Oryctolagus cuniculus: one gene and its partners. The main gene of each other region encodes a partner of the protein of the gene in region 3 in a complex. Links are inferred from orthologs where the notes say so. Each region holds a gene or a part of one and is shown on either strand. Other genes may lie near its edges.

What was found.
Region 1: the proteins of MAPK10 (region 3) and ATF2 are in contact, whole or in part, in a crystal structure (PDB 4H36), measured with the Homo sapiens proteins. The link is inferred for Oryctolagus cuniculus from reciprocal best matches to the Homo sapiens genes MAPK10 and ATF2. Residues at the interface, in NP_620448.1 of Homo sapiens: Asp150, Ala151, Gln155, Met159, Glu164, Arg165, Tyr168, Val197, Lys198, Ser199, Asp200, Cys201, Trp362, Glu367; in NP_001243019.1 of Homo sapiens: Lys48, His49, Met51, Thr52, Leu53, Lys54, Phe55.
Region 2: the proteins of MAPK10 (region 3) and MAPK8IP1 are in contact, whole or in part, in a crystal structure (PDB 3PTG), measured with the Homo sapiens proteins. The link is inferred for Oryctolagus cuniculus from reciprocal best matches to the Homo sapiens genes MAPK10 and MAPK8IP1. Residues at the interface, in NP_620448.1 of Homo sapiens: Asp150, Ala151, Gln155, Val156, Met159, Leu161, Glu164, Arg165, Tyr168, Leu169, Tyr171, Val197, Lys198, Ser199, Asp200, Cys201, Trp362, Asp364, Glu367; in NP_005447.1 of Homo sapiens: Pro158, Lys159, Arg160, Pro161, Thr162, Thr163, Leu164, Asn165, Leu166.
Region 4: the proteins of MAPK10 (region 3) and SH3BP5 are in contact, whole or in part, in a crystal structure (PDB 4H3B), measured with the Homo sapiens proteins. The link is inferred for Oryctolagus cuniculus from reciprocal best matches to the Homo sapiens genes MAPK10 and SH3BP5. Residues at the interface, in NP_620448.1 of Homo sapiens: Lys121, Asp150, Ala151, Gln155, Val156, Met159, Leu161, Glu164, Arg165, Tyr168, Tyr171, Val197, Lys198, Ser199, Asp200, Cys201, Trp362, Asp364, Glu367; in NP_004835.2 of Homo sapiens: Val341, Val342, Arg343, Pro344, Gly345, Ser346, Leu347, Asp348, Leu349, Pro350.

The regions. Positions count from the first base shown.
Region 1 is NC_091434.1:65,972,014-65,977,901, forward strand, and holds the start of ATF2 (cyclic AMP-dependent transcription factor ATF-2), read left to right. Parts: upstream 1-2,593; 5' UTR 2,594-2,644; exon of another isoform or gene 2,645-2,875; intron 2,876-3,014; exon of another isoform or gene 3,015-3,100; intron 3,101-5,888. UniProt on the Homo sapiens protein: Transcriptional activator which regulates the transcription of various genes, including those involved in anti-apoptosis, cell growth, and DNA damage response.
Region 2 is NC_091432.1:20,070,990-20,076,164, forward strand, and holds part of MAPK8IP1 (C-Jun-amino-terminal kinase-interacting protein 1), read right to left. Parts: intron 3,540-5,175; exon of another isoform or gene 3,143-3,539; coding exon of another isoform or gene 3,072-3,142; intron 2,057-3,071; coding exon 1,951-2,056; intron 252-1,950; coding exon 1-251. UniProt on the Homo sapiens protein: The JNK-interacting protein (JIP) group of scaffold proteins selectively mediates JNK signaling by aggregating specific components of the MAPK cascade to form a functional JNK signaling module. Required for JNK activation in response to excitotoxic stress.
Region 3 is NC_091439.1:81,337,180-81,342,354, reverse strand, and holds part of MAPK10 (mitogen-activated protein kinase 10), read left to right. Parts: intron 1-1,875; coding exon 1,876-2,058; intron 2,059-5,175. UniProt on the Homo sapiens protein: Serine/threonine-protein kinase involved in various processes such as neuronal proliferation, differentiation, migration and programmed cell death.
Region 4 is NC_091435.1:150,921,427-150,926,006, reverse strand, and holds the end of SH3BP5 (SH3 domain-binding protein 5), read left to right. Parts: intron 1-369; coding exon 370-589; intron 590-1,652; coding exon 1,653-1,913; intron 1,914-2,207; coding exon 2,208-2,428; 3' UTR 2,429-3,569; downstream 3,570-4,580. UniProt on the Homo sapiens protein: Functions as a guanine nucleotide exchange factor (GEF) with specificity for RAB11A and RAB25. Inhibits the auto- and transphosphorylation activity of BTK. Plays a negative regulatory role in BTK-related cytoplasmic signaling in B-cells.

The DNA of each region.
Region 1 (5,888 bases), on a different chromosome or scaffold from region 3:
AGGATCAATGGTTGTTGGCAGTGGCTGCTTTTCTACAATAGCTTTTAGTCAGCACTTCCCAGCCACGGGGATTCCAGGATCTCCTGTTATAGTTGAGTCCCAGGGTTTGCCTCCTCAAATAGCTACATAGGTTGACCGAGTCTCAGATGCTGGAAACAGCAGTATTTTCTGGGAACAGCTCACAGAACTGCCCCCCTCACTAGACCTCTCTACAGTATCTGTTACTCTCAAGTTCTCTTTTTGTCAAACAACATAGCTTTCAGTACTCCCTGTTATCATACCCTATTTTCTCCGTGGTACTTAACCACTATTAAATTATCTTTTTGTTGATGTATGTCATGTGCCTCCTCATCCCTCCTCACGCCACAAAGTCTCCTTAAGGGACTTCATCTTATTTATAGTGGCAGCCTCACAGCCAGGAACAGTGCATGGCATGTTCATGCCAATATATACAGATGCTTTATGAGCACAGACACTGAGAAGTCAGTTGACAGTTGACCTAAGAGGCTGTATGCAAGGGAAGAAGGTAATTGGAAAGAACAGGGTGTTAGTTCCAAGGACCCAGGAGGAACCACAGGACCAGACAGACCTGTCTTGGTTTCTGGCATAAGGAATCCATGGCTTTGTCATTATGTAGGCCTCAACTTGACAAATAGACTGGTTACTGGGAGCCACAAAGGGTAGATACTCGGATGCTACACAACTCTACACTAGGGAGGGTTTCACCCACTTTTACTGATACCTTGGAAGTGTGGGGAGAGCAGAATATAATGAAGGTGATCCCTCTTTCTATAGAGTCAGATGAGAGCTAAAGAAAAAGCCATCTTAAATTCTGTTCTCCCTCTCTGGGCTGGTTGCACTGAAGCTGGCATAGCTCATGGGTATGATTTGAAGGTGAGTACAGCTCTCTAATTTTTTTCCCACAGTGACACAATTGACTATACATTTTTCTGATAACCCAAGGATTTGGATTGGACATCTCTGCACTTGAAATGTCCTAAGTAGAAATTTCTAAGTGGACATGTGCTGAGGAGGTAACTTTAACATGGGCCATGTCAGGAATGTTCAGGAAAACCCTGGGCTGTCAAGAGTGGGTCAAGAAAGATCTGCCATGAGATGAAAGCTACGAAACAAATCAACTAAACTGTCTAGGTCCATGCTGCCTCATCTCATCTCAGATTCAGGGGGTTATTTATGCCTTGCTTCCCCCTGCTATTTCACTACACACACACACACACACACACACACACACACCTCTAACTCCCTACCTCTTGATCCCACTAGTAAAATCCCAATTAATCCCTTGTATTAGGCTACATCTTCAGGATACCATGAAAATCCAGAGGTTCTCTCCCTCAGCCACAGATTAGTTAGGCAAGACATAGGAGTTATGCAGACATAGGAGATACCCTAGTGTATAGTATTCTGGGTTATATTTAGCTACAGACAAGCAGGAACTGCTTGCTTTTTAAATTTTTCATTATTTATTTGATAGACTGGTTCACTGCTCAGATGCCTGCAATGCCTGGGGCTGGGCCAGGACCACAGGAAGAGCTGGGAACCCAATCCAGGTCTCCCATGTGCGCTCAGGAACCTGATTTTAAGCCATCACTGTTGTCACTAAGGGTCCATTAGCAGGAAGCAAACCACGTACTCCAATGTGGTATGTAGTTGTCTTATTACTTATGTAAGAGGCAGAGAAACAAAGAAGGGTGCTATTTCCATGTCATACTCTAATTTGGTGTTTTTTGGTCCTCTAGGAAACGTTAATAGGGGGTTGTTGCAGTTTTAAAGGGCTAAAGTCAGCTCTATTAAAATTGATATATTTTTATCTGTAAAAGGAAAAATAATAAAATAGAATACACTTAATATGGAGGCTTTGCTCTTAGAAACAAGTCGTTGCTTAGTTTTTAAATGATGGTGATATACTGGAAATACAGTGTATTTTGGTAAATTACTTCAAACAAAATTACATGCTAATATCCTACACTGTACTAGGTGCTGGGAAAAAGAACTCCGAAAACCCAGTTCCAGTTATAGCTTAGTAAATTCAAAGAAAACTCATCCAAGGTAAAGGCTTTTTCTTTTCGTTTCAGAACCCACTTCTCTTGCTTGATTATCGGCAAACTCCGCCTCTCCCAAATCTCAGCCGAACCGAAGCTCCCCCTCCCAGTCTTCCGGGTAGCTGGGAGGTGGGCTAGAGGCTCCCCTCCCCTCGATTTTCCCACCTCCCTACCGGGGCCAGGAAGTGACAGCAACGGAAATAGGGTGAGATCTCAGAGCTGGGCTCGGAGAACGCGTCCTGCTTTCTTTCCAGCCACTCGCCGTGTCTCACAAGCCAAGCCCGACACCCTCCCGCGCCCTACACAGCCACCTGCTCCGGCGCCCCAGCACCCGCGCCCGCCTCCAGCTGGCTGCCAATCACAGCCTTCCGCAGCTCCAGGGTTACCGAGACGACGCTCCTTGGGTTCTCTGATCCCGCCCCTTCCAGAACTGCTTCCCGCCCTTCAGGCTCCTTCTCCAATCATCTGCGCCCGGGTGTTCTTTTGTTCCCGCCCCCTCCGTCCCCGCCCTCCTGAGGGCCCGCCCATTTCCTTAAGCTTGACGGAATCACCTGACCCGGAGGCGCTCCCTCAGAAGGAAGGCAAGAAGGGGCGTGTGCGTGGCGGGCCGGGACGCGAGAAGAAAGGGGGGATGCTGGGAGTGGGGCGGAGAGAAGGGTTGTCAGTCTGATCTCGCGAGAGAGGACGGAAGCCTGTGGGAGCCCGTGGCCTTTAAAGTGCGGTTCAGCCCTTTCCTCCGGGGTAGTTTGTAAACACGGCTGTCCTCGGGCTCCTGGGCGACCGAAAGGATCATGAGCCAGTGACCTGCAAAGGTGAGTAGTGATGGGGAGAGGGCCGCAGGGCTGGCGACCGTAGGGAAAGAGAAAGAAGGCGCTAACATGGCGACGTCGCTCACCATAGTCCCCATCCCCCGCCTCATCACCCCTGGCGCTCCTGCCGTGGTCCCTAGCCCTGGGGGCGAGCGAGGCTGTGCTGCCATCTCAGCGGCGCGCGCGGCTTCCGCGTCGGGAGCCTGACCGGCCGGGCCGGACCGTTAGGTAACTGGCGTTCGTTGTTCCGGCCCCTCCCTCTCGCGCGCTTTCCTAACGAAGAGGAAAAAGGGATAACGGCTCCCCTTAGACCCCTCCCTCCGATCTTGCCTCCCTTTCCCTGGTCGGTTCCGGGGCCCCCGGGGCGTCGGGCCCGCCGAGTGCGCGGGGCGGGGGGAGACACCCCCGTCTCAGCCCTTGGATTGGGCAGGAGCAGGGCCCACTATGGTCTCTCTCCACGCAGGACTCTTGCGGTTGAGGACCGTGGGTTTGTGATGGTGGCGGGGAGGAGGATCGCGAGGCGAGGCTGAAAATAGGGTCAGGGTCCCTGCCTTCGGCGGAACCTGACGAAATGAATGGTGGCGAGAGCCTGGGAGCCTGGAGTCGCGGCCCTTTCTGTCCTTTCTGCCACCCTCACATTCCCGCCACCCCCCAGTTTTTCCAGGTGGGGCGGGGCCAAGGTGTGGGTGCAGACTGATTCTGGTATTTTCCCTCTTCGTTTGCTTCCCTGGGTGGACTACAGATCTTCTATGGGGATTTTTTTTTTTTTTTAAATCGGTACCCTAGGGTCTAGGACTGAGAGAGGACGAGGTGTATATGTGTGTGTGTGTGTGTGTATGTGTGTGTGTTGTATGCTGGTTCCTAGATCAGAAGCTAGGAGGAGGACTGAGGAGGAGGGGCAGGGGACGACTTGTACTCCCAGGTAGTATAAAATTACCTCGAATACGGTGGAGCAAAATAAATTACCCCTGATGGACCTCAGGGCTATTGACTAATCCTAAATTATAATGTGAAAGTTATGAATTATGGAGGCAGTCACCATGTATATACTTAATGCATATATTTGAAATCAGAACAAAAACTGCTTCTCTGAGCACACTTCTTACTTGAAGAAATTCGTAACCACTGGCATTGCCAGTGTCAGTAATAACCATATTAGGCATAATGTTCAATAGCCAAGTAGCCCAGATCTGTTGTACCGAAATTATGAAGGTAAGACTTTGTTTATAAAGCCTTGTCAAAAGAACTCTGAACTAGAAACACAGTTTGTTTCATTGGTTTAAAGAATCGACTGTAAACACTTTTATCAAAATGATGGGAACTTTCTGTAAAGTATGTTAAAAAAAATACACTACACCCTTCTGCAAGTCAAAAAGACTTAACAAAGCTCATGGATCTTTAAGGTCAATAGTTGAGAATGCTGGTCTTTGTAAAATAATTTGCAAGAATCTTCCACATCTACAGTGATATTTATGCTGCCTTCCTAAGACATGTTTAATCTTGACTTGAGAGGATGTTGCTGCTGTTTTTTTTTTTTAAATTGAAATGTATATGTGTAGTTTAGAACTTAAGTTTTTAAAATTTTAATTGTCTGGAGTTTTCAGGGACTTTTTTTTTTCTGTGTGTTTAAGGTACGTAATGCCTATGTAGATCTGGTAGAATTTCATGTAAACTCTTTTTCAAATACCTTATTAGAATGTTGGTTTTGTATTTGGGGCACTGTACTATCAAAAACATTGCAGAAATTCCTTCATTAACTTTTTTATGTGGGATTTTGGTTTCTTTCATTAAATTTGTTTTGAAGTTTGTTAGAGAGACAGAACTCCCACCTGCTTGTTGTCTCCTCAAATGCCTACAACCTCTGGGACTGGGCCAGGCAGAAGCCAAGAGACAGGAACTCAGTCCAAGTATTCCATGTGGGTAGCAGGGACCCAACTACTTGAGCCATCACTTCTGATTTCTGGGGTTTACATCAATTGGAAACAGAAGCTGGAGCCAGTTATCAAACCTGGGTACTGGGAACCCCTGTATATGGGACAATGGCATCTTAACCAGTAGGTTAGATCTTTATTTTTTATTAATGTTTTAAAAATATCTATTTATTTATTTGACAGAGTTACTCAGAGAAAGGAAGAGACAGAGAGGGAGAGAGATCTTCTATCCACTGGTTCACTCCCCAAATGGCCATAACAGCTCAGTGCTGGGCAAGGCTGAAACCAGGATTCAGGAGCTTCTTCCAAGTCACCCATGTGGGTGCAAGGGCCCAAGCACTTGAGCCATTATTGCATACTTTCCCAGGCATGTTAGCAGGGAGCTGGATTGAAATTAAGCAGCCAGCTCTTGAACCAGCACCCACGTGGGATGTCAGCATTGCAGGCGGCAGCTTGACCCATTATACTGCTGCGCTGGCCCCCATCTTTATTTTTTAACTAAACTGTAGAAATAGTTATTACTGCAACTCCTTCACAAAAAATTGAGGGAGTACTTTTCATTGGTATTCAGGATTTGGAAGTTAAATGAGTATTTTTTTAAAATGATATGCTAGATTGGGCATTTGGCCTGGCAGTTAAGATACCGGTTAGGATGTCCATATCTCACATCACACTACTTGGGTTCCATTGCCTGCTCCAGCTCCAGCTCCATGTTATAGCTTTGTGCAGATGTGGACCTTAGGAGACAGCAGTGAAGGATGAAGTTGTTGGGTCCTGTCACCCAAATGGGAGACCTGTATTGAGTTCCTGGATCCTGGTGTTATTCCTTCCTGACCCTCCCTACCACTGGCCACTGTGGGCATTTGGAGAGTGAACCAGTGGATGGGAGTGTTTTCTGTCTCTTTGACTGTCAAATAAGTAAAAAATTGAAGAGATGTGTTGTCCATCAAACATCTACTATCTTTAATTAGCATTAACTAGAAGAAGTCATCTACGCTTCTACTTAAATTTTTTATTTTGGAGATGGGCATTTAGCCTAGTGTTAAGACACTGCTTAGGACACCCATATCACATATCAGACTGCC
Region 2 (5,175 bases), on a different chromosome or scaffold from region 3:
CGGTATGTGTCCCCGCTGCCTGGGCCCTGGCTCTGGCCCTGGCCGCGGGACGCCGGTCCCTGACCGGGCTCGGCCTCGGGCGGCCCCGCTCCCGGACGCCGCGCCGCGCGCTCTTCGTCGTCCTCCTCGTCGTCCTCGGCGCCGGGAGTGTCCCCGGTCGCGTCGATCAGATCCATCTGCAGCATCTCGGCCTGCAGCCGGCTCCCCGCGCTGCCGCCGCCGCCCGCAGAGAGCAGCCCGGCGCGCGGGGGCTGCGCGGCGCGGACGGAGGGGCGTCAGGGGGCGGGGCCGCGCCGGGTGGGGCGGGGCCGAGGCCGCCGCGCACCGCCCCCTGCCCGGACGAATCCATTGCGCGGCCACGAAGCGGGGGGCGGAGAGCAGCGGCAGGGAAGAGAGGGGGCTCCGGGCCGCCCCTGCGGGAAGCGCACGGCCGCCCCTCCCCGCCCGATCGCCCCCTTTGCAGAACACCACCCTCTCCCCTCCCCGCGGACCCCCCTTCCGGCTCCTTGCACCCTCCCGTTCCCTTGGCAACGGCCGATGACCTCACCCGGGCTGTAAGCAGCTCCCAGAATGAAGTCACCGCTGTTGCCATGGAGACGTGGGGTCGCCCGAGGAGCTGGGCCCCCGCAAGAGATTGGGGAGAAGGGGGCGCACATTTGTATCTGAAGAAGTCTAGGAGGGACCCTGGGAAAACCGAGTCTCTGGCCAGGAGAGGAGGGCCGTACTGCGGACTGGAGTCCCTGGGAGCGCCGGAAGAGGGTCGCCGAGGCGGGGGACAGGGGCGGTCGGACCCCAGGGGCCCAGGCCTCTCCATGGGCAAGCTAGCCCTGCCTTCCTAGGGGACAGCCCCTCCCAGTTCCAGCTCTGCCACTGCCTGCCTGGCACCTTGGACAGATCCCCTGACCCTTCCATTCCTGGCAAGCGTGTCTGAGAGCCCCTGGGGCGCATCTAAGGCCACCGCCCCCGTCCCACAGCCAGTGCTCCCCCGGGGCCCCAGCTAAATGCAGGGCCCGCCCTCTCCAAGGCCCTGACGGTGCATGGTGGGGAGAGGGTGGCGTGAGACTCCAGACAGGTGCATGGCCTCGGAGGGAAGCTTCGTCAGGGCCCTGGGACCCCTCCCCAGGTCCACAGTAAGTGGTCTCTGTGTCCCTTCCTTCCTGACTTGGCCACAGGCTAGAGGGTTGCAGTAAGGACTGGAGGATTCCTCACCCCTTGTCTCTTGCCTGGAAGAGCTTACAGAACCTCCGCGGGTAGCAAGAGGTCTGCACAGAGACTGGTGCCTCTCCCGCGACCCTCATGGCAGCCCCCCACCCCAATACCACATCTGGCTTCCCGCCCTCCTGGGGGCGGAAGGAAGTGCAGGGCTCTCAAACCCAGCCCCGAGCTTGGCCCTCGTCCTGCGGGCTACCTGGCTCCTTCTTCCTGCTCTGCAAGACCGAGGCTGTTGAGTGCCTCCTGGCCGCGCCGGGAGACAGCCATCTTCCCTGTGCCAGGCCCAAAGGGCCCAAAGCATCAGCAATGCTGGGCCACGCCCTCCGTGAGGGCCTCGGCGTGGTACGGCGCACTGGCAGCCAGCAGCCATAGGAGTTCTTCCGGGTCATTCCTGGCGCCTCTGTCCTGTCCCCAAAGCACTGCAGAGTCCCAGACTCCACCCTTGCTCTGCCTGAGGCTCCCGGCCAGGAACGGCTCCCCAAGGGACTCTGGCCCTCCTGCCCCACTCCTGGATCTCAAGGCCTCCGGCTTCCTGCCTGAGCCCCTGGGGCAGAAAAATCAAATTCTGACTGCGCACCCAAGACGTGCCAAGCGCTGCACTGGGTGTTGCCTGCACACCGTTTCATGAGGGTGCCACCGGACCTGAAAGCCCCCTTTGTAGCCTGGGGGCCTCCCTCCCATCCCCACCCATCTGCCGCCCTACTCGGGGTCTCCGGGGAGCCAGGAGCCCGCCCTTACCCGGAAGGACAGGGTGTCTTTGCACTGCAGGCTGATGCCACACTCGTCAGTGATCTCTGAGAGGTCTTCATCCTCAAACTCCTCGAGGCTGATGTCGTGGGTGAGCCTGGGGGGGACAGGAAGCCAGAGTTACAACCCAGAGGGTCGGCCAGGCCTGCCAAAGGGCAGCCTCTAACAAACAGGCCGATCGTCGGCTCCGGAGGGTGGGACCCGGGGTCCAGCTGCTCCCATGTGGGAGGCGGTCACCAAGTAGGGACATGCCCAAAGGCAGTCCTCTAGGGCAGCTGTGGGGTGGGAGGCTCCGGGTCACTCCTGCTCCTCCCGGCTGGGAGCTGTGCACCTGCTGCCAACCCCCAGGTGGTGCCTAGAAGGCCCAGAGGTCAGAGCCTCAGCTCTGCCAGGGTCAAGGCAGGTGCCAAGACAAGGGCACCTGCAGAGAAGGCCAAGGCCACCTGGGGTAGGAAGGTCCCCACGCAATCCAAGGGGTAAGGAGTACGGAGACCCAAGGGGTCGGCAGGGGTGCAGCAGGCTCACAGGAGTGCTCCACGCCCCCAGCCCAGAGTGCCCATGACCGTGAGCCCTGAGAATGAGTGAATGGGAATCTGGCGTCCACTCCAGGAGAGGCTGTGCCTCCACCCTGTGTGCTTGGGCTCAACTCTTGCTTCCTCCGTGCCCAGGCTAAGGACCCAGAACAGGAACCTGCCCTGGTGGGGTCGAGAGAGGCTCCCGGCTGGGGCTGGAGGTGCCAGGAGCTCGGGTGCCACTTCGACACTGCAGCCTCACCTCCCACGGCCTGGGCCAGCTCCGTGCACCCACCCTGGAGAGCAGGGCTGGGCCTCCCACTGCGGGCCCTGCCTGTCCCTGCCCGGCTCCTCCCCAGCCCTGGTGTGGTGTGGGAAGTTGGAGAGAATGTCGGAGCCTTCCCCCCAGGTAACACCAGGAGGCAGGCGTAGGGCAAGGCAAACCCACTGGTCCAAGGTCACCCAGGAGAGGTAGCGGCCCAGCGCCCAGGGGAACATGGGAGGCCCACACCCCTGCCTCTCACCTCAATCAGACCAAACAGAGACCCTTAGCTCCACGGAGCTCCCCGCGACACCCGGCCCCACCCCCACACCCCCTACCAGCGCTCCCACTGGTCCTCCAACCAGCTGTCATTGTCGGGGCTCGAATCCATCTTCAGCACCAGCTGCATGGACAGCCCTGCCCGGCCGGGGGGCTGCGGGGCCCCAGGGCTGCCCTCTCATGCCCAGAAAGGGGGGGGGCGGCCGGGGCTCAAGGCAGGGCTAGGGCCGCCGGCCTCCACCGCCTGGGCCTGCCCCTCTGCCTCCTGCCCGCTGCAGAAGCCCAGGAGCTCATTAAAAATAAATGGGCAGGGAGAGGAGGCAGCAGCTGCCGACCCGGGCCCAGCCCCAGCCCTTCCCGGCCCAGCCCTCAGCCGCAGGCAGCCTCCCTCAGCCGGCCCATGGCGAAGCCGCAGCGGCCAAGGCTCTGTCGCCGCCTCTGCCGCGGGATCAGGTTACCGCGATCAATGCTACGGGCTCCACCTGCCCTTCCAATGCCCCTGTCCAGGGCCAGGGCCCCCCTCTCCGGCCCAGGCTGGTACACAGATGGCAGAAATCTGGGAAGTTTCCCCCTAAAACCCAGCCCCTGCTCTGTTTTAAAGGGCCAGCACCACATTCAGGGAGCCAGGTGGGAGATGGGGAGGCGCCCCGAAATCCCCGAGAACGGATACCCCAGCCTCACCCAGCATCACGGAGACTCTGTGGACGCAGGCAGGTCCCGACCTACCCCAGCCAGGCCTAGGGTTGCCTCTGGAGCCAGGAAGGAAGGGCCAAGGGGTACAGGGGACTCTGGAGGCAGAGATAGGAGCAGGCTGGTGCTGGGGCTCCTCGGAGCCCAGCTGGAGGGCTGCAGGGTGGTCACGAGCTCCCTGTCACCTTGCAGTGACATCAACAGAACCCGGAGGCCTCCGGACGGAGCCACACAGCAGGGGCTCTTTAAGGCCCCTTCTGACCGGCAGCCTAGGGGTGCTGGTTCCCAGGCCCCCCCCCACCCCGCAGTGTATGTGGAAGTAGGAAGGCCTGGTCCAGAAGCCAGAGTGGCCCCCAAGTCCAGCCAGGGCCCTGCAGCACCTCTGGACCTCGGATGAGAACCCCCAAATACAAAAGCAGCGAGCACACAGGGGCCCCGGACCCAGCCAGTGTCGCCCGGAGCCACAGGAGATGCCCCCTGCATACGTCAGCACATCCTCACGGCTGAGCCCTAGTCCAGGGCCTGCCTCTGCCCTCCCAGACCCCTCCAGGGCCTTCCCTGCCTCAGTCTCCCCAATCCTGTACCACCCCACCCACCACCATCAGGCAAAACTGCTGGAAACACCATCACCCATCTTGGCCCTGCTCAAAACCCTCCAAGGTGAGGCCGGTGTTGGGTGCGGCAGGTTAAGCCACCGCTTGCAACACCAGCTTCCTGCATTGGAGCACTGGTTCGAGTCCCAGCTGCACCGCCTCCGATCCAACTTCTTGCTATGGGAACCCAGCAGAAGATGGCCCCAAGTACTGGGGCCCCTGCCACCCACGTGGGGCATCGCATGCAGTTCCAGGCTCCTGGCTTTGGCCTGGCCCAGCCCCAGCTGTTGCTGTCATTTGGGGGAGTGAACCGACAGAAGGAAGCTCTCTGTTTCTCTGCCTTTCAAATGAATAAAACAAAAAACCCCACAGCCCTTGAAGGCGACCTGCTAGGGGCCGAATCCTGTGCCCGGCTTCTCTGGGCCCAGTGCTGCCCTGACCTCCGGTGGGAGCTTGGGGCAGGAGGGCTCAGACCAAACCCCGACTCACTGAGAAGCAGCTGCCGGCCCTAGCCTTCGACCCTTACTCCGTGCACCTTCACCTCAACCTTCACCATGATCTTGCGGGAGGGCTCTTTGCCACCCGTTAAGCAGATGAGGAACACCAAGGCTCAGACACGAGGGGCTCATCTCCGGCCTCAGCATCCCCCATACAGAGGGAGGCCACCCATCCCCCTGCCCACCAACCTCAGGGGGCAGGTGAGGAGGACCAGAAGGGACCACCAAGGACTGGGTGGGGGTGGGGGGAGCAATCAACCAAGGTGTCCCCTATGCAAGCCACAACCCTCCCCAGGACCCTGCTCCCTCCTCCCTCTTCTCCAAACACTGATGTCCCGGTGACCCAGCCTAAATCCTATCAGACCCTTGGTCCCGCGGGGATC
Region 3 (5,175 bases):
TATTTTGCCAACTTTGTTCAACAACTTCCTCATAGAAAACCTGACAACTCCTTTTCTCCAATCTAAATTTGTCATCAAGTCTTTAGAATTCTGAGGAAGTTTGACCAGTGGTTAGACAATGGTTTGGTAGGGCATGGTAACCTAACAGTAATAGAGAAGAGCTCTCTTTTCATAATTTGAATGACAGGCACTTGAGTTTTATTTAACTACACTAATGCATTCTATTTAAATATATCTAAGTAGTTATAACTTACCTGTATCCATAGTATCAATATGAGTTTTTTGTCCAAGGGTAACTGTAACTCTAACTCTACATAATGTTTTAGTTTCTTTATCTGTATTGATTCTGATCTACTATTTTCTAATCACATAGTAATTTAGATAAACTTTTATTGAAGGATATTCTGGTTTCCTTATCTCTACTTTTTTATAAAGGACTGTTCTTCAGTTTTTACCTCCCCCATTTTATTTTTTGATAGTCCATAGTCAAAGGTATTTTTCAAGCCAGAAACTGAGAGGATATGTACTAATATAAATTTTATTCAGCCCATATAATGGAGGTAGAAGAGGATTTGCAAATTAACTTGATTTTATGTTTGCTCAATCTCCTACATACTGTCTTTGCATTATATATTAGTTTTTGTTGAATGTAGTTAATTTTGTCTTTTCAATAAGGTTGCTAATCTTTTATAGTCTAACTCACTCGAATAGCTATGAGTAAAGACTTTACAAACCACAATTAGTAATCTTAGGGTAAGGGTCCTGAAGCTATCATATATCGCATTAAATTAATCAGCTTAATGTTAAAGCATAAAGAATAAAAATGTAGTAGAGAACACTCCTTGTGATATTGATTTAAAAAGAATTTCCAAGGTCTCTGTCATTCATGATACATGACAAGGTAATCTGTCTAAAATCAATAGCTTCCAGCTGGTCCTTCAAAGTATTCAGGGGCAGTGTTTCTTATTTTCGATGCTCTGGTACATGAACTATTAATGAGGCGTAAAAAATAGAATCTCAATCAGTGGGTATGTCTGTCAACATTTACCCTCTAATTTTTGAGGGTGTAATTTTTCACAGAGAGCTGGCATGTTTCATATAGAATTCCTCATAGTTACCATACTCTCTGAATTTGGATGTCTTTGGGTGGAAGTCGCTCTCTTAAATGAAGCACCTCTCTGTCTACCCTCATATGTGATTGGAAACATATTCAGAAGTAAGAACAGTAGGTATGCAATGGTGACTTCCTTGTATGAATAGTATAAATTTCTAAATCTTTGATGAAGAATTAATGAGTTCTTTTACTATAAAAAAAATTTATTGACCCCATGTGTAAGGCATATGAGCAGAACTCATTAACAGATGATAAATTTCTTGGGTTTTGGAGAAGAGAAAATATTCTCAAAAATAATCTAGGAAGACAATAAATGATTATCATTTTTAATAGATGTGTACTTGCCATTTTAAATGTATAAGTGACTGAAGTATCTTCAGGAGATAAAATGTCACTATCATGGGATTATATATTTTTTCTAAATCACATGATTATATTGGTGTTTATCCTTTTGTAAGAGATTCTTCTTGTGTTATTTAAATAACATGTTAGCTTTACCAATCAAAGATTGTTTCATGGTATCCTGTTTTGTTAAATAATATTAGCTCCCTGAAAACTTCTGAGTTCGAAAACAGAATTTGAAATCTAGGGAGGATGCATTGCCCTGACAATTCTGTTTCACAGTTTTGTCTCTTTTTGCTTTATTAAAATCCCAATTGTACTGATGGCTGCCCAGGATTCTGAAGAGTTAGCCTCTTATTATTGGAAAGCATGAGCTAGTGGTCTGCACTTCTGTTTTCCCTTAACTATTCAATTCTCAGATATCGACCAGTGGAACAAAGTCATTGAGCAACTAGGAACGCCGTGTCCAGAATTCATGAAGAAATTGCAGCCTACAGTAAGAAACTATGTGGAGAACCGGCCCAAGTATGCGGGACTCACCTTCCCCAAGCTCTTTCCAGATTCCCTCTTCCCAGCAGACTCCGAGCACAATAAGCTCAAAGGTATGCCGGTCTGGGTGGCAGAGGGCCGCTGTGGGAGTGACCAGCTAAGCAAGCCTGTTGATATGAAGACTTTTCTTCAGCTAGAACTATGCTCACATTAGGGAGAGTCATTTCCTAAAATATCTTCTTACAAAGGGTTGGGTTGTAGCCAAGAACTTTAGAATTGTTGGGATATTCAGAGGGAAAAATAAGAATAAAATATGTCCCAGTGCTGTGTGTTAACTATTTCCTGGTGTATTTAAAATCTTAAATTTAGTATCTCAAGTGTAACTCTATGTGATCAATATATATTGAAATCAATGTTCTTACTTTTTATTATCTGGGAAAGATTTTCAAAATAGTTATTAGTTATGAAACCTTAGAGGCAGATGTCTGATTTTCTTTTGTTGTGTTTTGTATAGTGCTTACCCTCTATTTTTTTCAGTTTAGAGTAGTAATTGAGATTTCAACTGTACATTTTTATTCAATATAAACAGTTTTATTAGTGATTTTTTTCCTACTGTGTCAGCAGTTATCTAATTGGACAACAAATCTTGATCCACACCTTCACACACAAAATGGATCTAAGAATGTTGCAGTTTCATTTGCAGACCAGGAATAAATTTAACAGCAGCTGGAGTATAATACAGAAATATTCTAATTCTTATACTTTAGATACTCCTGAGAATATGATTTTGAAAGAATCATATTTTATTCCCCTGCCTGGTTTAAATTATGCCTTTATTCCTTAAAATATGTGGGACTCTGGGCAAGTTTCCTGACCCTCACTTCTTTTAACAAATGAAGGTATGCAGTTCCTACCATATAGGGTTGTTCACAGGATTGATTGACATAATAGCTTGTCAAACACTTAGAATAATACCTAGATGATGGCAAACGCTCAATCCCTATTAAATATAATATGTAATATAATATTTTAACAATATATCTACAAATTATTAAAAATAAGAGGATATATACTTTGAAATTTAAAAGCAAATGTTCAGTGTGTAATTATCTACAGATTTAACTTACAAATTTAAATAAATAGCTAAGTTAGGCTAAAATAAGACAGAAAAGCTAAAATGTGGTACTACTATTTTCTAGGATCTTTTTGTCTCCTCTAAACTTTTACCTGCTGGGTTTTAAATATGCAACTTTGTTTCTATTTTCTTGTAGCTTAAATTACATAATTGAATTTTCTACTACAGTTGACACTACGGTCTCTTAATGGCAATGAACTAAATTATTACCACATCTGTTTTTTTTTTTTTTTTAAGATAAACTTTTTCCTATATGCAGCTTGAAAAAGACCTAATACTTCAAATAGAGATCTTTTAGAATTTATGGCTTCACAATACTGAGATATTATCCAAAAGTTATCCTTTCTTATAAAAACACTTGCAATAACAATAGGGATTCAAGGCCGGTGCGGCGGCTCAATAGGCTAATCCTCCACCTAGCGGCGCCAGCACACCGGGTTCTAGTCCCGGTCGGGGCGCCGGATTCTGTCCCGGTTGCCCCTCTTCAGGCCAGCTCTCTGCTGTGGCCAGGGAGTGCAGTGGAGGATGGCCCAAGTGCTTGGGCCCTGCACCCCATGGGAGACCAGGAGAAGCACCTGGCTCCTGCCTTCGGATCAGCGCGGTGTGCTGGCCGCAGCGGCCATTGGAGGGTGATCCAACGGCAAAGGAAGACCTTTCTCTCTGTCTCTCTCTCTCACTGTCCACTCTGCCTGTCAAAAAAAAAGAAAAACAAAAAACAATATGGATCCAGCAAACTCCTCATTTAATTATAACATAGTTATGCCAACACTTATAGAAAAACTCTTAACTCAAATATCATGCTTCATAATGTAATTCCAAGTTTCTATAGTTTATTTTCAACTCAGTTTGAACCTCTACAGTTATTTTAGTTTTGTAAACTAGTGTTTTATATACTAAACTATTTTACATTTTTATGATTATTTAGTTTTATTTTTAATATAAAAGTAACAAGTTATAAAGAATATACAAATAATTAAAGGGAATGATTTGTTCAATTATATTTGGAAAATGCTTGCCAACAAAAGAATGAGAGGCATTGAAACATTTCTGTCATTTGTTTCCTCTGAATGGTGTTGGTCACTATTTCTGAGTGAGATGACTTGCTATTGGGATACTTCGTGCCCCTACTGAGGAGGAGTCCTTTCTGGCCCCTCCCCTTTCTAAGAGCAGGAACATTGATGGGTTTTATGGGAGAATCTGTGGGAGTAGGATACATAAGACTGTAGAGAAAATCAGTTAGAAATCAGAGATCTATGAATCAATGAAAGAAATAAATCCTTGATGGGTTATTGACAATCAGGAAGATTAAATATTGAAAATTAACATACAAGTATTTCTATATTTTGGTCATTCTGTGAGCCTCACAGTTTTAGTGACTGTAATGATAATCAAATCCCAAGATTATTGCCAACAATAATGGTTAGTAGAAATGAAATTTCTTTACATCTAATTTAGCTAGTGATTTTCCATATTAGAATATAATATTGAGAATTATATTTGTTAAAATATAAAATTATCAGAAAATATATTAAAGAATAGGTGAATAATAGATTAAAATAATAAAATAGTTAAAATTATGTGAAAAATATGTGAACAGCATTAGAAAAATATATGCCAATATACATGGATTGTTTAGCTAGGGAAATAATTAATATTTCTTTGTGTTTTATGTAATTTTCATATTTGTACAATTTACTCATTTTTCCTTAATTTGGAAAAAAATAAATATTGTTATATGTCAATGGATGTAAACATATTGACTTTCTTAAATCAGTTTAGATCTTATATTTACTTTGAAGTTTTACAATGTGTTTGGAACAAACTAAGTGTTTTCACTTAAACTTTTAACTCAATTGGATAATAATGTCGGTTTAATATATTTATTTTACCTATTAAAATTATATTTTATAAAACTACATATAATGTTAGAGATCAAAAATTAATGATTTTAAAGGTGTTATTAGATATACTTACTGATTATCATATATAAATTTATAACTGACATCGCCCACAACTATAAATTTAATAATGACAATGGGTACAAAATAGTTTTTTATCTGTATCTGGCATGGCATTGGGATGGCTTTTGCCATTA
Region 4 (4,580 bases), on a different chromosome or scaffold from region 3:
CTGGGACCAGCAGCCTGTGCGGGCCCCAGGATTGAAAGGCAGGCTCCCAGGCCCCGCCCTGCACCTGCTGAGTTAGAGACTCTGGGAGTGGGGCCTCCACATGAGCGCATGTTTGAGAAGTACTGTGTTGGGGGCCAAATGGCCAGGACGGCCAGACTGTTGTTCCCTGCTGGGGTGGGCTTTGGGCTGTTGGAGCCTGTCCCCTGGTGGGAGTCGGGGGGCTGATGGGAGGAATCAGGTCTTTCCTCCCTCGTGTGTTGGCAATCCCCAAAGTGATGGGCAGGGGCCGTGTGCTTGCACCTGTCACCTGTGCAGCTCGAGGTCAGCAGGGGGCGCCCTCACTCACCGAGCCTCTCCCTTCCTGTGCAGCTGCTGAAGGCGGCGGTGGACGAGCTGCAGGCCAAGCTGAGCCTGGCAAAAGGCGAGTACAAGACGGCCCTGAAGAACCTGGAGATGATCTCCGACGAGATCCACGAGCGGCGGCGCTCCAGCACCATGGGGCCCCGCGGCTGTGGCGTTGGCGCGGAGGGCAGCAGCGTGGCTGCGGAGGGCCTGGCGGGGAGCAAACCAGAGCCGGACGCCGTCTCTGGTGAGTCGGGCCGTGCGGTGCGCTCCCAGGTCCCCATCCTCTGTGGCCGGCACGGAGGGTCTCAGAGCTCAGCAGGCTACGGCTTCCCAGGATGCTGGGGTCCCGTGAGTCTGGAAGTCATCCCAGACTGGTCTCCCGCGTGGCAGGCAGGGACCCAACAGATCTGACCTGGCTTCTCATGGTGAATCAGGAGACCCCTCCGGCACTGGCCTGCACCCCTCTTTTCTGTGCTACAAGGCCCATGGGCGCTTCCCCAGGACTTCTTTAGTTCTCAGGGAAAAGGGAACCATCATCTAAGCAGCGACTGTGTGTGAATTACCGCTCATTAATCCTCCACGGAGAGAAAGCTGGAGCCCAGAGAAGTTAGGTTACCACTCAGCAAGGTGTGGAGTTGGGGTTTGGATTGAGGTCTGAGCCTGTTTTGTGTCCCCAACGTTCCTGAAGCCCTTGTCATTTGGAGTAATTCTCTGTGGGAGCTGCCAGGCTGTTTCTAAAGGCGAGGGAGGAGGAAAGACCTAGTAACACATGGGCTGTGTGCGGGCTCCAGGAGACTTGGAGACGAGGCCAGGGCCCTGCCTCTGGGCCTCGATGGTCCTGGTCCCCAGGGCAGGCGGAGCTCCAGAGCCCTGCGGAGGGAGCAAACAGGGACCCAGGTAGGCACTGAGTGCATGTTTGCGGAGCTCAGGAGTTAGCGGGGGCTAACAAAGACCCCCAGCTGCAGGCTCCGCAGGGCCAAGTCTTCCAGTGGCTCTTGCTTTTCCTGTAGGGCCAGAGGGGAGCTGGCCAGCCTGGCGTGGGCGGGGCCAGACCCCTTCCTGTGCAGCTGTGTGTCTCAGGGACACAGGTGGACAAGAGGGCCGCTCTGCCGCTGATTGCTCTTCCAGGTGGAGGGCAGGGTTACGGGTATCGCGAGGACCTCATGTCAGGGCTCCGGCTGCGGAGAGGCTTGGCAGGGCCGCAGTGTGTTCCCTGCGCTGTGTCTGAAGCAGGGCACCCTGGGAGGGGAAGTCGAAGGGGCAGGTGACCGTCAGCACCCGTGTGACTGACTGTCCCCTCGCCCCAGTGGCCTCGGAGGCCTTTGAAGACGACACCTGCAGCAACTTCGTGTCTGAAGATGACTCAGAAACGCAGTCGGTGTCCAGCTTCAGCTCCGGACCCACGAGCCCGTCGGAGACAGCCGAGCCGTTCCCTGCGGTGGCGAGGCCCGGCAGCCTGGACCTGCCCAGCCCCGTGTCCCTGTCGGAGTTCGGGCTGATGTTCCCAGTGCTGGGCCCCCGCAGTGAGTGCAGCGGGGCCTCCTCCCCCGAGTGCGAGGTGGAACGAGGTGAGTTGCAGCCTTGCCCTGTCCATGGAGCCTCGCGCTGTGGCAGGCCACTCTGTACCCTTCCACCCCTCGGCTGGGTCTCAGGGTCCCCCCAGTGCCAGGCGCCTGGGCCCCGGGTGCGCCTTTGCCGTGCTCCCCAGGGGGCTCCTGCCAGAGCCCAGGCCCTGTGCTCTCCAGGGCTCGAGTGTGGGAGCCGCCCTTTCTGTGCAGTGGGCAGCCCCTGGAGCCCCGCGGGTTGAGTGGGCCTCCTGGCCCCTGCCCATCTACTCACTTGAGCTCTCTCTATCTCCCCAGGAGACAGGGCGGAAGGGGCAGAAAATAAGACAAGTGACAAAGCCAGCCACAGCCGGGGTCTCAGCAGCGGCGGCGGCGGCGGCGGCGGCTGCCGGAAGGGCCCGAGCAGCGTGTCCCTGGAGGGCCAGGCCCTGGAGAGCCGGGTGCAGCAGCTCTCCCTCCAGTGCTCCAAGGGAAGAGAGGGGCTCATTGCCGACATAAACGTGGTGCAGATCGGCTGACCCGGCCCGTGGCCCTGTGAATACTATTTATACAGGAAACTGGAGAGCACCGTGCCAATAGTTGTTCACTCTATGCCAAATCTTAAGCATTTACTTTGAACTGAACTAATGAGGTCTCAGCGACCTTGGGGGCTGCAGATTGTTCTGGTAAGACCCCTGAGCTGGCTGGTGTTTCGGAGCAGAGCTGCTGTGGCGGGTGGACTGGGCCCGGCTCGCAGCGGCCTGTGTGCCGGCGCTGTGGAAGCAGTACCGCGTTCCTGGGAGAGCTGCGGAGCCAGGCCCGGCGTGCACCTGCCCCTCAGGCTGGCTGGGAGGAAGGAGGTGTTCCCTCCCTCATTCCCCAGGCCCCCTCCCCATCCCCACTGCCTCCCCCAGCAGACACCCTTTTCAGGGTGTTCCGAGCACCGTTTTGACCCAGTGAAGGCTTCAAGAAACCGAGAACGGAGTTTGCTGTCATCCACTTCCTATGGCGTTCAGAGGCCGCAGAAAAAAGTCACCGGGAATTGCACTTTTGGGGGTGGGATGGATGAGTGCCAGGGCGGGGGCGGGGGGCTGCGGACGGAAGGGGCGTTTCATAGAATAGGAGGGAAGGTTCCACAGCAGAGACCTCACCCTGCCAGCCAGCCGATCTTCGACGAGAAGTGCATGTGAGGAATGGCTTCCACTGTTCTCCAAGACTGACCAGTGTTCCTTTCTCTGTAGGTTGTAACGTAAGGAAATTATTTAAGGGGTTTGCAGCACTAGAGTTCCTTAGAGGAAGCTGTTCCTGAAAGGGAAGGGAGTAGGCATGTGTTGGCAAAGGCTGTCAAACAGGAGCAGTGGCGTCTGGTATGCTAATAGTAGTGTTAAGACCGCTTTATCTTTCTTCCTCTCTTGGTTACGCATACTTAGAGCACCCTATTTTATTTTATTTTATTTTGGCCCTGTTTTGTTTCGGGAAATCCAGCATTTCTGAACGAGGGGAAAAGCAGCCTCTCCCTTTCAGGCTGTGTGTTACGTCGCAGCGTCTGCATCTTAGGCGTTTGCAAAGCTCTTCATACTGCGTGATTTCTCCTTTTTTATTCACTGATACAATATCCTACTTACAAGATTATTTTGTACTTGTCTTATACCTTGAGTGTAATAAAAACGGCTTAAGAAACCTTGTGTTTGGCGACTTCAGTTAAGAAAATCCCAGTGTTCTTGGCGCAGGGTGGGGCATGAAGGTGGTGGCCACCTGTTCTCATTTGTCACTCCTGGTCGGGAATCCTGACAGCAGGGACCCGGTTCCCCTTCCGCTGCTGCGGTGAGCGGCGAGCAGGCAGCGGGCGGGGATGAAGGGAAGCTGGCAAGCGCCGGAGCTGTGCGCTGCCTCCTCACCCCAAGAGGCTGCTACCTGGGAGTTGGGGCGCACGTGGGCTTCGGACCTGGAGGAAAACTCAGGTCTGGGAGTCCGATGGTCATCTTGGGCCCTGTGTCTCATGGAGATGTCCCCGTGTCAGTGTGCTACACGCTGAAGTCTGCTGTGGGGGACAGAGTGCGTGGTTTCAGGAAAGCTCATAACCCTTTGCACTGTGAACGAGAAATACTTTTTTCCTAGTTAATATTTCCTGTCCTACAGAAAAGCTCCCAGAAGGCCCTTCCACTAGATTTACAAATAAAACAGCTACTCAGTTCTCATGAAACCCCCTTGCACTGTGAATTCCCAGACCCCTTCCTGAATTACTGTCAGAAAAACTGCTCCCCGCAGTTGAAACATTGTTTCACTTTCTCCCTTCCAGAAGAGCAGCCACACTAGGAGGGTTTGCAGCTCCTCCACCTGTGTGTGGGTGGCAGATTTCTCTTGTAAATACACAGAAACCACAAAAATACATTTCACTAACTTTTTATAGTATTTTTTAAAGATTTTATTTATTTGAAAGAGTCACACAGAGCGGGGAGAGGGGGAGAGCGAGCGAGCTATCTTCCATTCGCTGGTTTACTCCCCAATTGGCTGCAACAGCTGGAACTATGCTGATCTGAAGCCAAGAGCTTCCTCCAGGTCTCCCACGCGGGTGCAGGGGCCCAAGGACTGAGGCCATCTTATTCTGCTTTCTCAGGCCATAGCAGAGAGCTGGATCAGAAGAGGAGCAGCTGGGACTAGAACCAGCACCCATATGGGATGCCAGCGCTT